2 linked regions of the Rhinolophus ferrumequinum genome follow. The protein of the gene in region 2 interacts with the protein of the main gene of each other region in a pairwise test. Links are inferred from orthologs where the notes say so. Each region holds a gene or a part of one and is shown on either strand. Other genes may lie near its edges.

What was found.
Region 1: the proteins of TMEM79 (region 2) and SFTPC interact in binary tests that used the Homo sapiens proteins (3 or more experiments, as listed by UniProt). The two-hybrid records come from large-scale screens. The link is inferred for Rhinolophus ferrumequinum from reciprocal best matches to the Homo sapiens genes TMEM79 and SFTPC.

What each region holds. Positions count from the first base shown.
Region 1 is NC_046301.1:44,266,944-44,274,812, forward strand, and holds the start of SFTPC (pulmonary surfactant-associated protein C), read right to left. Parts: upstream 3,055-7,869; 5' UTR 3,026-3,054; coding exon 2,873-3,025; intron 2,691-2,872; exon of another isoform or gene 2,602-2,690; coding exon of another isoform or gene 2,560-2,601; intron 1,867-2,559; coding exon 1,708-1,866; intron 1,357-1,707; coding exon 1,234-1,356; intron 990-1,233; coding exon 879-989; intron 479-878; coding exon 341-478; 3' UTR 331-340; intron 126-330; 3' UTR 1-125. UniProt on the Homo sapiens protein: Pulmonary surfactant associated proteins promote alveolar stability by lowering the surface tension at the air-liquid interface in the peripheral air spaces.
Region 2 is NC_046305.1:816,622-823,702, reverse strand, and holds the start of TMEM79 (transmembrane protein 79), read right to left. Parts: upstream 3,010-7,081; 5' UTR 2,893-3,009; intron 2,104-2,892; 5' UTR 2,061-2,103; coding exon 1,310-2,060; intron 1,052-1,309; coding exon 838-1,051; intron 1-837. Other genes in the region: nonsense-mediated mRNA decay factor SMG5, read left to right, coding at 4,350-4,423.

The sequences.
Region 1 (7,869 bases), on a different chromosome or scaffold from region 2:
CCCACAGATTCCCATTTCTCTAGGGCCAGTTCCTGTAGTGTGTGTGGCAGGAGCAGCTCCCTGCCTGTCTGCAAAAGACCTTTTGCTCATGGATCTTTCCTGTCCCCTTGGGGCTTCCGCATGCCCTGCAAAGCAAAGAAACACTGTATTATGTGAGGGAGAGGGACTGGTGGTGGGGTCGGGGGGCTTGTCTGTGAACCTGCCCTCCCTTGAGCTCCCTGGGTGATCGGCCTCAATGGATTCCCGTTCCAGGTCAACTGACAAGACAAGGTGGCCCAAGCCCTCTTGGGCCACTGCTACTCCCGTGCCCTGGAGGTCACACCTGCTCACCTGAAGGATCCTAGATGTAGTAGAGGGGCACCTCACCACACAGGGTGTTCACGGTGTTGCCTAGGAAGTCCAGGTCCCCATTGGATGCTGAGCCAGTGTCATGGCCTTTCTCCTGGCTCAGCTTAGCGGGAGGCACTTCAGGCTTCACCTGGAAAGTACACCTTATTTGGTGCCTGGGAGCTGAGTTTCACCTGTGGCCCTCGTTGTGGGACCTCAGGCATGTGAAGCAATCTCTCTGAGCCTCAGTTTCCTCACCAGTAAAGAGGGGTCTGTGCTGGAGTCAGAAGCCCCTATGTGTGGTGTGGGCTAAATTGAGGCCAGCAGCTTGGAGGTGGGGTGGTGGGGCGGGTCTGGGGAATGGGTAGGGAAGGTGTAGAGCAGGTGAGTCTGGAGAGGGACCCTTCCCTGGCAGCCCCAGAGGAACAGCACTTTACAGGGTCAGAACTTGACAACGTGCTCCCAACTCCTTGTGCCACACACAGGCGTTCCTAGAAGTCCCAGCAGCCTCGGGAGAGAGACAACCCATTCCTTCTCGCCCTCACACCCACCTGGAAGTTCTGGAATTTCCTAGTGAGAGCCTCAAGACTGGGGATGGCCTCCGGAGCCATCTTCATGATGTAGCAGTAGGTTCCTGGTGCCGGCTTGTAGGCAATCAAGAGCTGGGCATAGGAGCCCCAGAGGTAATTAGGGAATGAGCTAGGCCCTGTCCTGGGCCTTCTCCCTCTAGGTTGGGCACAGGAGGGAGTTATATTGGAATTTGGGGCTCAGGCACCCCCAGGGGGTGCAAAAGCACTGGAGTATGGGGAAAGATGGGTGTGTATGACGTAGCACAGCTGGGTGGATCTAGCAAAGTCCTGTCATGGGTCCCCTGGGGCCAGGGTCAAGAGGTCCAGGCACACTCACCCGCTGGTAGTCATACACTACAATGCCAGTGGAGCCAATGGAGAAGGTGGCAGTGGTGCCCACACGCTCACTCAGAGCCAGGCGTTGCTGAGCTTCCGGCCCCGCAATGCTCATCTCCAGGACCTGGGGGAGGGCACGGCGCGGCCTGGCATTCCTCTTTCCCCACTTGTCCCTTCAGTACTCATGCCCACTCTCAATCCCCTATACTCAAATGCAATTCCTTCTTCCCTGAGAGCTCAGAGAGGCTGAGTAGAACCAGGTGCTGGAAGGAACAGGCTGTCCCCAGGTGGGGTAGGGGTGAGGGGAAAGCCCAGGCCAGGTTGGCCACCCTGCTTCTGCCTCTGTCCTTCCACGAGGTGCCCCTTGCCTCCTCCTCTCATTCCTCTTGGACAGTTTGCTGCCTACCCAGCCCCCCAAGCCAATCTGTCTGGCATGCCCTGTACTTCCTGCCCACTTCCTCCCAGGCCTGCTTACCATCTCAGTATGTTTCTGGCTCATGTGAAGACCCATGAGCAGGGCCCCTACAATCACCACGACGACCAGGACCACCACAACGACCACGATGAGAAGGCGTTTGAGGTGCACAGGGCAGCAGGGGATGCCCAGCCGGCCCCGGGGGGCTGCTGAGTAGTCCTGATGTGGTGGGGTGGGGAGGAGACAGTTATGAAGTCATGAGGACACCCCTTCTCCCTGCACTAGCTGGACACCCTCTCACGCCCTCCCAGGGCTGAGCAACCTATGCTATGGTCGTGCAGAGGAAGGATGAGGAGATCAGAGGAGGAGGTGGCCTGGATTCCAGCAAACCAACAGATGCTTAGAAGTGAGGTCTGGCTTGGAGAGACCCGAGACAGCCTATTTCACTAATGATATTTCCCGCTGTTTCCTCCAGACCCCTGGTACCTCCGCCACGCCCACTCCCTCTCTGTTCCCCAAACAATTCATGCTCTCTCACACCTCTGTGCCTTTATACCTACCGCCCTTCTTTCTGAGTGCCTTCCTCCTTCTCCACTTGGGGAGCTCCTGCTTATTCTCCTGGAGTCAGCTCGAATGTCATTTTCTCTGTGGTTCTTCCTATGACTGTCCAAGCAGTGGTTTCCTACTCAGTGCCCTCTACAGCCCTTTCCACTGACCTCTGTGGTGCCATTCAGCCACTCATATTAGAATCATCGGCTGCCATGTCTATCTCCCCCAAGGACTCTGTCATAGTGATCGGTGTCCCTGCTCTAACTTAGCACAATCCTAGGTCGGTTAAGCGAATAAATTTGATGGGGAAATAAGCCCAGAGAGGCCCACCACACACACGCACACACACATGTTCACACTCACCGGTGGGCTCTCCATCAAGACTTCTTTGCTGCCCACATCCATCTTGCTGCAGGCACCTTCCCCTCCTCGTCTCCTACGTCTCCTATGTGTGAGACTGGGGTTTTATATGTGCCAGGAGGGAGAGGGGACAGAGGTGAAGGGCCCAGCAACCATCTGCCAGCCAAGCCCTCAGCTTTGAAGCCTGTTTGTTCCTGGCCCTCCAGAACCACGGCCCTGATAAGGCAGCTGCAAGAGCACCTAAGGGCCCTTGCTCTGGCACGTGAGTCCTCTTAGCCCTGGCGAAAGCAAAGCTGGGTGAGTTGAGCAAACTTACCCTTGGGCAATCTGCACCTCTCACCGTGGGTATCTTCCTGGCATGGCCACTTTTCTTGCTGGCACCTGTCCTTGCAGTCCTGTGGCTTTCCCTGTTCTTCCAGGCTGTACCTCTCAGGCAGCCAAGGGTCTGGCCCAGTGGGAAGTCCATCATATTTCCTACAGGATTAACCCGAGCATAGGGATACGCTTCAGGAATGGGAGTGAGGAAGCAGTGTCTGTGGCCCCAGATCGTGCACTGCTGAAGGCATCAGTATGGAGGTTCATAAATCATTCATAAGTTCTCTGGGAGCATTCAGATTTTGACCTCAAGTACTCTACTTGCTGTCTACCACATTTCCTTACCTAACCTCAGACATGCCCCCAGCTATTCTTTTCCAAATTCTGAAAACTCTGTCCCCTCCAGTTACAAATTCTTACTAACATGAGGTTTTCCATTCTTTGCTATGGGCTTGTTTGTTTTGTTTTTTTCCTGCTTTTATTTTATTTGCATTTATTTGATGCTGAATTTATTCCCAGGCCAACGTTTTTGTTTCTTCCGTTTCTTCTCCTCTGTGCAACCTCCTCTTCTGGTTTAGGAACAATCTGCTTTTCTCCAGTAAAGATCATCCCACTGTGGCAGGGGGAACTCATGTAGGGGTTCATCCCCCAAGAGTTCTATAAGTTCTGTACCTCATCTTGGGAGCTTTGTTCACCTGGGGGGTTCATCCCCCAAGAGTTCTATAAGTTCTGTACCTCATCTCGGGAGCTTTGTTCACCCGGATGTGCTCCATGACCAGAAAAATCTACATCTAAACCCTCAGCATTCCTCACTACATTTCTAAGCATGTGCAACAGAAGTTCTGCACTCTTTTTGGGCCACCGACCCTGCATCCAACCCCACTGTTTGACCTGGGCACACCTACCAACTCCACCATTGTGACGACAGAATGGCGCATACGGCTGTCAAGTGACATCCTTTAGATACTTGGTGGCTTTTCGGACATACATACCCTTGATGGCCTGGGCAGTTTCATGAGTGTTTTTTAAAATAAACACAAAGACTTGAGCCTCTTGATTTGCGTGACTTTGTGGGGTGTTCTGCGTCAAGTGAATGGCAAACCATTTTCAGAGCTCAAACTGAAGACGTTTGATTGCAGATTCCACACCTGACACTTCTTTCTTCTGTCCAGAAAGCCTTGCACCGGGCTGGGTGTGGTGACTGATGGGCTCCCAATCTCTTCACCCCTGAATCAGCGCACTTCCTTGGTGCTGCCATCACCCTTCCCTTCTGCACTCTTCCTTTGACATCCTCTGATCCTAAATTTGCCTGGAGAACACTACTTGCCCAAATGGGATCCACTCTGTGGACCTTCTCCTCCCCTCTATCTCTTTCCTCCTCCTTCCCAAAGCCATCGCTGTTGCTTCGTTGTGCTAAACAAGCCTACTGATGGCTGTATCCTTTCTCTCAGGTTCCCCTCTGCTTGCTGGGACAGGTGTGCTCTGTGGCACCTTTAACTCTAAACTTTCCCAAGTGTGTAAATCAGAGCCCCACACCTCGCTCTTCTCTTGGCCTCCCTCTAGTATCTTCCTTATACCGTAACTCCAACACTTCATCCCAATTCCTGTCCCTTGCCCAGGGGCTCCCTCGCACCTTGGCCTTGCCCTTCAATCCTGAGCAGACCCCCAACTCTTCAGCCCTGGCAGGTTCCCCTGTCCCCACAACAACCCCCTCTCCAGCTGGAGGGCCTTCAGCCTCCAGATTGCACAACAGCATGGCATCTGAGCTGAGAGCCCCTGAGAAGATTGGAGAAGGAGAGAAGGAAGGAAATGTTTGCTCCCACCACCCACCTCACTGCCCCACCCCCAACGGCCCCTTTAAATATTTGCCTAAGCCTCTAGCAGCCAGTGTCCTAGGAGGAGTGAAACAGGGGGAGAGGGGTTCATGGAGGAGGGGGAAGCGGCCTCCTCTCAGTGTGCAGCCTCAGCTGTGTGCAGGTGCCAGAGGCAGAAGACAGCCCCCAGAGCCCCCACTCCCACCCCCAGTTGTCCTGGCAACACTGGGATTGATCGCTGACTCACACATACTGGGCCTGCGCCAGGTGGGCAGCAGGCCAGCGGGAGGGCCAAGGATAACTGCAAGCATCAGGAGGTCCCTGTGGGCATCTCGGGGACTGCCTAGTCCAGCTGAGGAGCTTGTTCTGAACAGGTGCTGTTGGCCGGGCTTGCCATCATCACAGGGTGTGGGAAAGGGGGCTCTTTCTGGGAGAGAAGCCTCGGTCCTCTCCGGTCCTCAGTCTCCCCTGCAGGCTGCCCTTAGGCTGTGCTTCTCATAAGCTTTACAGTTCTTCCTTTCCTTTCCTTTCCTTTTCCTTCCTTCCTTCCTTCCTCTCGTTTTTGCCTGTTTGGAAGTTGGGAAGGAAGGATGCCCTCCAGTTTCGTAAGGGAAGTTCAGATGCTGCCAGCAACCTGGTAGAGATCTTGGGAAATGTGGAGAAGGAAGGAGGGAGGGCGCTTTAGCTGGTCCTGCATAGCTGTCCCTTTGCTCCTCACACTAGCCCTCTACTGCAGGCTTCTCTCTTCTTGTCCTTTACTTAGGCCGGTTTTCCCTTCTGGAAAGCCCACCCTCAACACCTCTCCACCTCTCTGAATACCACCCACCCTAAAAGGCCAAACAAGAACCAATAGCACCTACTCTGTGACCTTACCGCCCCAGCCTACAGGGTCCCATCCCTCCTCCAAAATCTCCCAGCCTCCCTGACACATGTTTACCTGCCACTTAACACTCCCTGATGGTCTCATCAGCTATGTGGGTGCTTTTTGTTGCCTTACCTACTCAACCTAGCTGCCAGCCATGAGACTGGCCCTGGGATCAAGCTTTCCTGAGGATTCTTTGTACCTGCCCCAGAGCAAGGAGCCTGCACGCACCCAACGTGTAATTATAGTCAACGATAAGGCTATCCCCACACATGTGGGGGCTCGTTGACAAACGGTCAATAGTTCATTCCTTCAGTATGTGGAGGACTCGGTGATTCACTGGCCTGCTCTGGGACCCTGAATGAGACATCCTATCTTTCTAGGCTTTAGAGTACTCATCTGTGAAATGGGACTAATACTGTCTGCCTGTCCCCAGCTCCAGGCTGTTGTGAGAATCCAATGACATCATGATGTGAAAGTCCATGATTATCACTATTTACTTCAACTCCCAGGGCAGGTCTTACTAGAGAAGGACCCTACTAAGAGTAGGACCCCGCCTCCCCCTTTCTGTCTGTCTCTGGGTTAAAGCCTCTGAGAACTGTGGCCGTGGAAAGCCCCACAATAGCCCCTCCTTCTATGTGTGTCTTCCCTGTTTCTCCTTCCAGCCCCTCAGCTGCAGGGGCGGGACAGGATTCACTCTGCCCTTTGTGTCCTGGGCAGAGCCGTGCCAGGGACGAGTGGAGATGGTTGCCCAGCTGCCCCAGCCACCGTCCCCACCCCCATTGCTTATCTTCCCACGAGCTGGCATGGGGAAGGCAGCACGGGAAGCTGGATGCATCAAAGGGCCAGGGCATCCCTGTCTGGCAGAACATGGACTTAAGTTCAGACCAAAGAATCCCCTGCTGGCTGATGCTGGGGTCAGCTGGGAAAGCATCTTAAACCCGGTGATCTCGATTTCCTGGACTGATGTGTAAAGAGCACCAGACTGGGAGCCCAATCACCTGACTTCTAGGCTCCCCTTGTTCTGTACCTGGCAGCTCTTGGGACAGTCACCCCCTCACACACACACACACACACACACACACACACACACACACCATACACCCACACCCCAGGGAGGTAACATGGCATAGAGCAGCAATTCTCAAACTTTTTGGTTTCAGGGTCCTTTAACTCTCTTAAAAAGTATTGAGGACCCCAAAGAGCTTTTGTTTATGTGGGTTATATCTATTATTTACTGAGAAATTAAAAAAATATTTATTCATGCGTTAAAATAGCAATAATAAACCCATTACATAACATAAATAACATAAAGTTTAAGTGAAATCATTTTACAAAGCAAAAAAAATTAGAGAGAAGAATGTTATTGTTTTACATTTTTACAAATTTCTTTCATTTCTCGCTTAATAGAAAAAAATTCCAGGGTACTTTGTGAGAGCATGAAAGTGAAAAGGGCAATAATGTCTTTAATAGGAAAATTGTTTTGACCTCAAAGAGTCCCTGAAAGGTTCTCAAGGACCCCTGGGCTGCTTGGGCCACACTGAAAACCCCGGGTGTGGAAGAACAACTGTTAAGCCTGGAATTGGGCAGAGTGGATTTAAACCTCCGCTCTGTCACTTTTTTCCCCCTGGTACTATAAGTCTTACTTTTCTGTAAAACGAGATCAATATCATCTGCCTCAAAAGGTGGACAGGAGTAAGTAAGTAGAGTCCACAACACATAGTAGGTGTGATATCAAGCTTGGCTACTTTCCTCTTGGTTCTGGCCTCAGTTTCCTCATTTCTTAAACACAGGGCTGGACTGGGAAACTTCCAAGGCCCTTCCCAGCTCCAACAGGCTGTGGTTGTGCCAGAGAAATGTTCCAGAATTCCACACATTCCCACGCCGGCTTCAGTGATGACATTCCCCTTTTCCGCTCACACAGACACAATGGCACATTATGTTCATGAGCTGTGGAAACAAATGTGAGTGCAGATACACACCTGTCACTTACAACATGCCCATGAATCTGCTTAGAGGACGTGTCCCTGAGGGCAAGGCATGCACACGGGGACACCGAGGCACACACGTAGATCCCTAGTGCAGAAATGCCTCACAAGGGGATCTGTTCACGGGCCTGCAGAGACAGGTGTGCACGCTGTCCTGCCATCTAGGACGCACATGTATATCTCGCACACATGCACAGACGCTCTGGATGCCAGACACAAGCAGATGGCCCAGAGACCTCCGGTAGGGCATGCAGCATAGGGCGGCCAGGGCCGCAACCACTCCCTTCGTTGGCTACTCCCAGCCCGGGACTCCCCCCACCGCCCTGCGCGCCCC
Region 2 (7,081 bases):
ATTGTATATTGATAGTGACAAAAGGAAATGTATTAGGGGCAAAAATGGAAAGACCTGTGTTTATTTGGCTTCAGAAATTCAAAGGTGTCTTCTGGGTTAACAGTAGTTCCCATGGAAACACCCCTAAGGATTTCATGGGACTAAATTCGAAATGAAAGGAGAGTAATGAGGCTGCCGTGAGAGCTAACGTGGCCTTGGTTTGTATGAGCCGAAGACCAATACCTTTCACCAGCCCCCCACCCTCACCCCATTTGACCAGCAGGAGAATTTCCTGCCCATAGAGAAAGACGGTGAAGGGGTCAGGGCCACTTAGCAAAGTAAACACGGGGAGCAGGGTGCTGGAGTAGGGGAACAGAGCTGTTGTCAAATATCCGAATTTGTCCTAGGCAATTCCAGAGATCAGGGTCAGGGCAGCAGTCTTTAGCACAACACAAAGAACTTCCTAATAACGAGGACCTTTGAAAAACGAAACAGACTGCCAGATAAAGAACTGAGCCCTTGGTCACAGGGGGTGTCCAACTAGAGGCCAACGGCTACCTGACCAGAGTGTCACCGGTGGGTGGCTGCAATGACACCTGGAAGCCCTTCCAGTTCTAGATGGTATATGAGTCTCCGAAATCGGCTTCCTGTGGGAAGACGTTTGAGCTGATCACCTGCTACCAGGTGAGGTAAGGTGCAAGGGAGAAAGTGGACTCACCTTTCCAGGGCGCACATTTGGGCCAGCGCAGGATCCAGACAGCTCCCGGACCCCGCGACCCGGGCTCTCTGCACATTCACTCACCTGGGTCCCTCTAGCGCCATTACCTCCCCTGTGCCCCACCCCCAGCCGCAGCTCACCGGGAGATGGCGAAGAGGCCAGTGAGCAGAGGGAGCAGTTTGAGGGTGTCTTGGGGCAGGTAGGTGGAAAGCACGGCCAGGTTGAAGAAGTAGAGGATGAAGAGCTGGACCGACTGGGCCACGTACTGCCGGTGGATCTCTACCTCCCGCCGGGGCTCCCCAAAGGGCCGCAGGGCGGAAAAGCACAGCAGACTCAGCCCGTACACAAGGAGGCCTGGCAGGGATGGAGATGCAGGGTCAGAGAGCACGAGGCAGGAAGCGGGGGCAGGGCGCATGGTGGAGAGCTCATGGGCATGGGTCTCCACAGTGGGGCTTGGGGTCCTGGGAGGGGCAGGCACACAGGGTGGCAGAGCGCGCAAGGCCCCGAGGGTCCAGCCTCAGTAAAGGGAAACTTCTGCTCCCCAGCCAGGCAGGCCCTGCCCTCGAGTCCAGCTCCCAGATGCCCCTTCCTTCTCACAGGGCCCAGGCTCACCCAGCACGATGGGGAAGGTGGCGAAGACCCCGCAGCGCAGCGTGTAGACGAGGCGGGAACTCATGGTGGGCAGCCGAGGGGCATCGAAGGGCAGGAAGGCGTACGCCCCGTACAGCAGGCAGGGGAAGAGGACCAGGGCGGCTGCCACGGAGGCCACAGCCCTCAGCCCCTCGTGGCCCCCGCAGCCCCCACAGGAGCGGCCGGGTGGCCTCACCACGGCCTCGGCCCACTTGCGCTCTGAGGGCTCAGGAGGGGTGGCTCGGGTGGGCAGGAAGGTCCGGCGGCGCTCTGCCTCACCGGCCTCACAGCGCACAGCAAGGTCCTCCTGGGGCCGCCGCTCGATGCACTGCAGGTCGATGGGCACAAAGGCCCGTGGCGCCTTCTCGGGCAGCAGGTCCACGTCATCGTCACACAGCTCCTCTGGTTTGCCAGGCGGCTCCGACTCCAGGAGCTCAGGCCCCATGTCCCGCCAGCCGGGGGGGTCCGGGAATGGGGCAGTGGCCTGGGGGCCAGTCCCCCAGGGCAAGGTGGCAGCCTCGCTCACTGTGCTGTCCAGACCATCCTTTGTCCCCTCTCCAGCTGTGGGAGACCCAGCTGAAGATCCCACGCTGGAGGGCTCAGCGCTGGGGGACTCGGCCCCACTTTCCCCTTCTGGCTGCCGGCCATTGGGGACCAAGGCTTGGGGTGAGCTCTTCTCCTGGGCCTCTGGCCCCTTCACTTCCAGCAGGGCCAGGTGTTCGGGCTCTGTCATCCTGGGACCTCAGTTCTGGGGTCTACCGTGAGGTCATGTCACCCTAGAGATTAACAGGAAAGCTCTGTCAGAAGTTCCGTCCTCTGGCCCTTAGGATGGGTTGACAGAACCGAACTCTCCAGGGCAGTTGGCACTCCCCTTCTGGGACCTTGGGGAGAACATGGCATGCAGGAAGGTGTTGAAACAGAGTGAGGAAGGAGAGACGTGAGCAGCTGAAATGGAGGCACCCTTCTGACATCAAACGCCAGCCAGCAGGAGCGGGTGAGTCAGGGGGCATAGGTCTTGGCAGTTGTGGCCTCAGCCAGTCCCCACCCACGCCTTCTGCTCCCCTCCACCAAAACCCCTGGGGTCATGGCCACCTTCATGCAGGAAAGGGAGGGACAGGAGGTGCCTAGAATTTTGCCAAGAGCTGCCTTCCCACTAAGGACCTCCTTGCGGACAGAGAAGCTGCCCCTTCACCTTCAAACCTCGCCTTCCCTGCAGATCCCTGCTTGGAACCCTCCTGGTAACTGATCCCAGTGATTTGCCAACAAATCTGTCCCAGGGAACTGGCATAGCAGTGCACCCTGTTCTTTCGTCTCTAGTCTGGGGACATGGGCAGTTGCCAAACTCCTCACTAGCCCACCTCATCCATCTGCAGAGGGCCTGCGTCTGTCCATTCTGACTTCTAGGTCCTACCATGGCTGTTCCCCATGCCTCCTCGCCGGTCTCTCCCCTCCCTGCCGTCCCCTCCGTTCTCCGTCTCTCTGCTTCTTGATGGGGCTCAGCCCCTCCCTCCACCTCCACAATGGCTTCCTACCCCTTGCCATTTTGGCCCATGACACCCTCTTACTTTCCATCTGGAGAGAGACGCAGGGTCCCCAGTCCCCACAGTGTCTGGGAAGGAGCTGCCCAGCTCCCTGCTGGCTCTGCAAGTAACCCTCTGGTCTCCCTCCCTTTACCTGTGTTTCCAAACCAGTCTGACCGGAGCAGGTGGGGCCCAGCTTAAAGGGGCAGGCCCCGCCCTGCTGAATCTGCCGACAGAAAAAGCCTTAGAGGTCGCCTGTCATCCTTTCTGAAAGTGGGGGTGCAGCTGGGCATAGAAGTAAGCGTGTGTTCTAGGCAAATGGCATGTGTAAGGGCTCCTGGCTCACGAAAACAGAGGGGGACCATGGGGTTTGTGCATCACAGGGTGCTTGGAGTAGGTTGGAATACCCAGAAAAGAGATGGAATTTCTACACTTATTTATTCACATTTACTGAGCACCTGTTATTAGCCAGGCACTGTTCTAGGCACAGACTCCAGAGACAACAAGATAACAGGCAAAGGCTCGGCCCTTGCGGAGCCCGTTCTCTTGGGGTCACAGATAATAAAGAAGCCTAGCGACTCAATAAATGAGACAATTTCAACAGGGAAAACCTTTCTGCCAAGGTGCCTTTTGAGCTGAGACCTGAAGGGAAATGAGGAGTGGGAGTGTTGCAGGCAGTGGAACAGCAAGTGAAAGGCCAATGAGTGAGAAAGACTGGCAGTTTCAGGAACAGAAAGAAGGGCGGTGGCTGGAACCAGCGGCACAGTGGCGGAGGGGGTATTTATGTTCCCATTTCAACGCGTACACAGTCCCCCACCCCCAAATACCTTGCTTTTTACCTTAGGTTTAAGGTCAAGAGAGCAATAGGAATCCAAGGTGATCTTTTCAATGGGTCGACCCGGGGGCAGAAACATGAGTGAGAGAGGGACTTCTCGTTCCTGTGGGACCTCACCACTAAAGGCATTTGAGCTTTGTGACATTTTTTTCCTAAAAAATTCTGACCATAATCTGAAAGAGACTCGACTCAAATGGAGTGAGGGGAGGTGAAGGGGCAGAAGGGTGGATTATAAATGACCACCGTAGGACAACGCAAAATCCGCTCCCAGCTCTAGCGTGAGCCCATTTGCCCCACTGAGCTTAGCTTCCCCCTTCTGGCTGGGTCCACTGTCCGTTCTCGAGCAGCTTTGTCAATAAAGTTTTTCGCAAGGGCTTGAAGAAGCCGGAAAGAGGCCATGCTGCCCAGAGTTAGTTCTGGCAACTTCCCGGGAGGGAAAACGAGTTTCGCGAGATTTGGTAGCCGCCGGCCACTGGCCCGCAGCTGTGCAGCTGCTATCGCGAGATTTGGCAGGCGGAGGAGGAGTCGCGGGCAGCCGCCTCAGCGATGGCGGCCGAGCAGGGCCGGCAGCGGTGGCGGCTGCGGCTACGGCCGGAGACGGCAGTGGTGGAGGTAGCGGTGGGTGGCGGGGGCCTGTGACCGGAAGCCGCCCCCGGGCCCGGGCACCATGAGCCAAGGCCCCCCCCCAGGGGAGAGCAGCGAGCCCGAAGCAAAGGTCCTCCACACCAAGCGGCTTTACCGGTGAGAGGGGCCGGGGCGTGAGTGCAGTCGCGGAGGGAAGTGGGGGGACAGCGAGGGGCGGGGCCTCCAGGCGGGCGGGGCCCGGGCGCCGGGCTGGGGCGCGGGCGAGGGAGGAGGGTGCAGTTTTGGAGGGAGCGGGTGGGGGGCCCCCTAACCCGGGACGGAGCTGAAAGAAGAGGTTGGGTGGGTGGGAGGTTGGGAAGGAAGCACGTGGAGGGAGGGATCCCCACAGCGGTGAACTTGGGGCGGGCACCGAGCTTTGCGGTTTTGGGGTCAGCAAAGGTGGGGGGGACTTGAGGGCTGCAGGGGTGGGGGAGGTGAGGGTGGAGTCCGAGATGGAGGAGAACCCGGAAGGGATGAGCCCTGAGAACCCCGCAGGACCGAAATCGGGAGAGCCAGGTTAGGTCCTCGCCTTGCCGCGTCTCACGGTGTGACCTTGGGCCTGAGCGTCCTCGTCCTTAAAAGGAGAAATTTGGATGTGATACGTCCTGAGGTCCCTTATGGCTCACATTTTTGGGATTCTGAATGAAAGGAAAGAGGCTGGAAGACTGTTGGACTGAAAGGGCCCAGAAGGACTTGGAGTCCAGTGTCCTTGGTTCACGGGAGCCCGTTTCAGGGCACCTGGGGACTCCTGACTCCTGCCGGCGCCCCAGCCTCATGACTCCAGTCCTTTGCCAGGCAACCTCCAGTCTTGGTTTCTGATTTCCGCAGTGCCTCTCACGCTCCGCGGCGTCTGTAGCCCTTCAGTCCTGTGTTGGGAACCGGCCAGGATGAGTTCTTCCCACCCTGGGTCAAGGATATTTTGTGTTCGGCAGCTGGAACCTGGGCTCTAGAACTGGATGGACATAGAATGAAGCATAGAGACTCCAGTTGGGTTTTCTCCTTTCTGGTAGGGAGTAGGGATTGCGGTTTTCCTTTGGCTCAGGCTCTGTTGAATAGAAGGGTTTGCACGAGAGATGGACCTTCGGAGCCCTGGGCCCTGTCTTGGCAGTGAAAGAGTCAAGAGCATGTTGTCTTTTCCTCCTGAGTGGGCATCCTGCCTGCTCGGCTTCGGAGACAGAGGGGAGCGTGGGCTGCTCCCAAAATAGAAAAGTGATCCAGTCCCGCAGCCCCTGGGCTCCCACTGTGGGCTGCCCCCAGGTGGCACGTGTGTCAGAGCTGCCTGTCAGACAGAGCGTGGGCAGTGTCTGCAAGACGCCTTACTTGTCTCCAGCTTTGGTAAAGGCTCTGGTCATCCCGATCATTCTCAAATCTAGTATTTTCTCAAGCCACTACCTGCACAGGACTGATTGGCTTAAGCCGATGTGTGGCTGACCTGTGTGCTCGTGGAAGTCTGCCTGCAGTCGTGTGTTGTCAGCTTTGAGCAGCGTGGGAACTGGAGGCGGCGGGTCTCTGTTTTTATAATTTATTGTAGCAAGGGTGGGTGGAGAAGGAACTGGGGGAGGGAGGTCTTGTTTCTCTGCCCCACATAAGTGTGTGTTGTGAGACTGGAATTGTCACTGTGAGCTTCAGTAAATTTGGGACTTTCTCACAATCTAACGGCTTACAGAAATGAAATTCTGAAACGTTTTCAGCCCCTCAGAAGGCAGGCAGCTGGAGAAAGGATGCTGAAAGGGACACAAGCACCAATTAATTAGGCCAACGAACTAGTTTTTAAAAACATTTTTCTTTTTTGACACTGTTCTAGGCCTGGGAGTACAGTAGTGAATGAGACACAAGACAGTTTTTGTGGGTTTTGTTCTACAGGAAATTACAGTCGAGTGGAGGAGCTTATGGTCTGATGGGGAATGGAGCAAACAGTGCTGCGTCCTCGCAGGTTTAAGAATTTTCAGTTAGAACTTCCCAGCGTAGTGGTTATTAACCTTTAGAATGGAGGGAGCACTCTAGAGCCTGTCCATAAACACACACACACACCCGCCCACATCTGTCTAGGGCACTGAAGTTAAAAGCCCTGCCCTGGGGACTAAGCTGGCATAGAGTAAATCCCTGACGACTGCCTGTGCCCCTGGCATCCAGGGTCAGGCTGGCTACAGGGCTTGGCTCCCACCTCTGGGCAGCCCAGCGTGGTTGGAGAAAGGCTGAGCTCTCAGGACTGCTTGTGACAAGGCCTGATTACCATCTCACTCACTGTCATTCTGCCCTGTATAGGGCAGCTTTTAGTACTGTACGCCCTGAGCCCCCACAGGGCGCCCGCCTGCTATGGCCCACTTTCCTCAGTCCAGCAGCACGTTTCAGTCTTCTGGAACGATCCGGACTGTTCTCAGAATTATCACTCCCTGAGTACCGGTTGCTTTTGTGTCCAGAGCTGTGCCTGATTCCCCTGTTGTCACAGCTGCTGTCTGTCACCTTCTGGGTTTTACCCTTCCAGAGATGACACCTCCCTCTGGAACGTCTTAGCCATCCACCGAATTTCCTTGGCCTTTTCACTTAGCGTCTGGTGTCTCCTCCGCAGCCTTATAACAAGAAGGGTGAAGGTCAGACTTACTGGGCACTTGCTATGTATGGACCACTGTCATGAGTGCTTTCTGCATTAGCCACTTTAATCCCCACAAAATAGGTGATAATGTTATTCCCATTTTATAGATGGAAGAACTGAGGCATAAGGAAGTCAGATAGCTATTTTGCCCTGGACCACATAGCTGGTGAGAATTAGAGCCA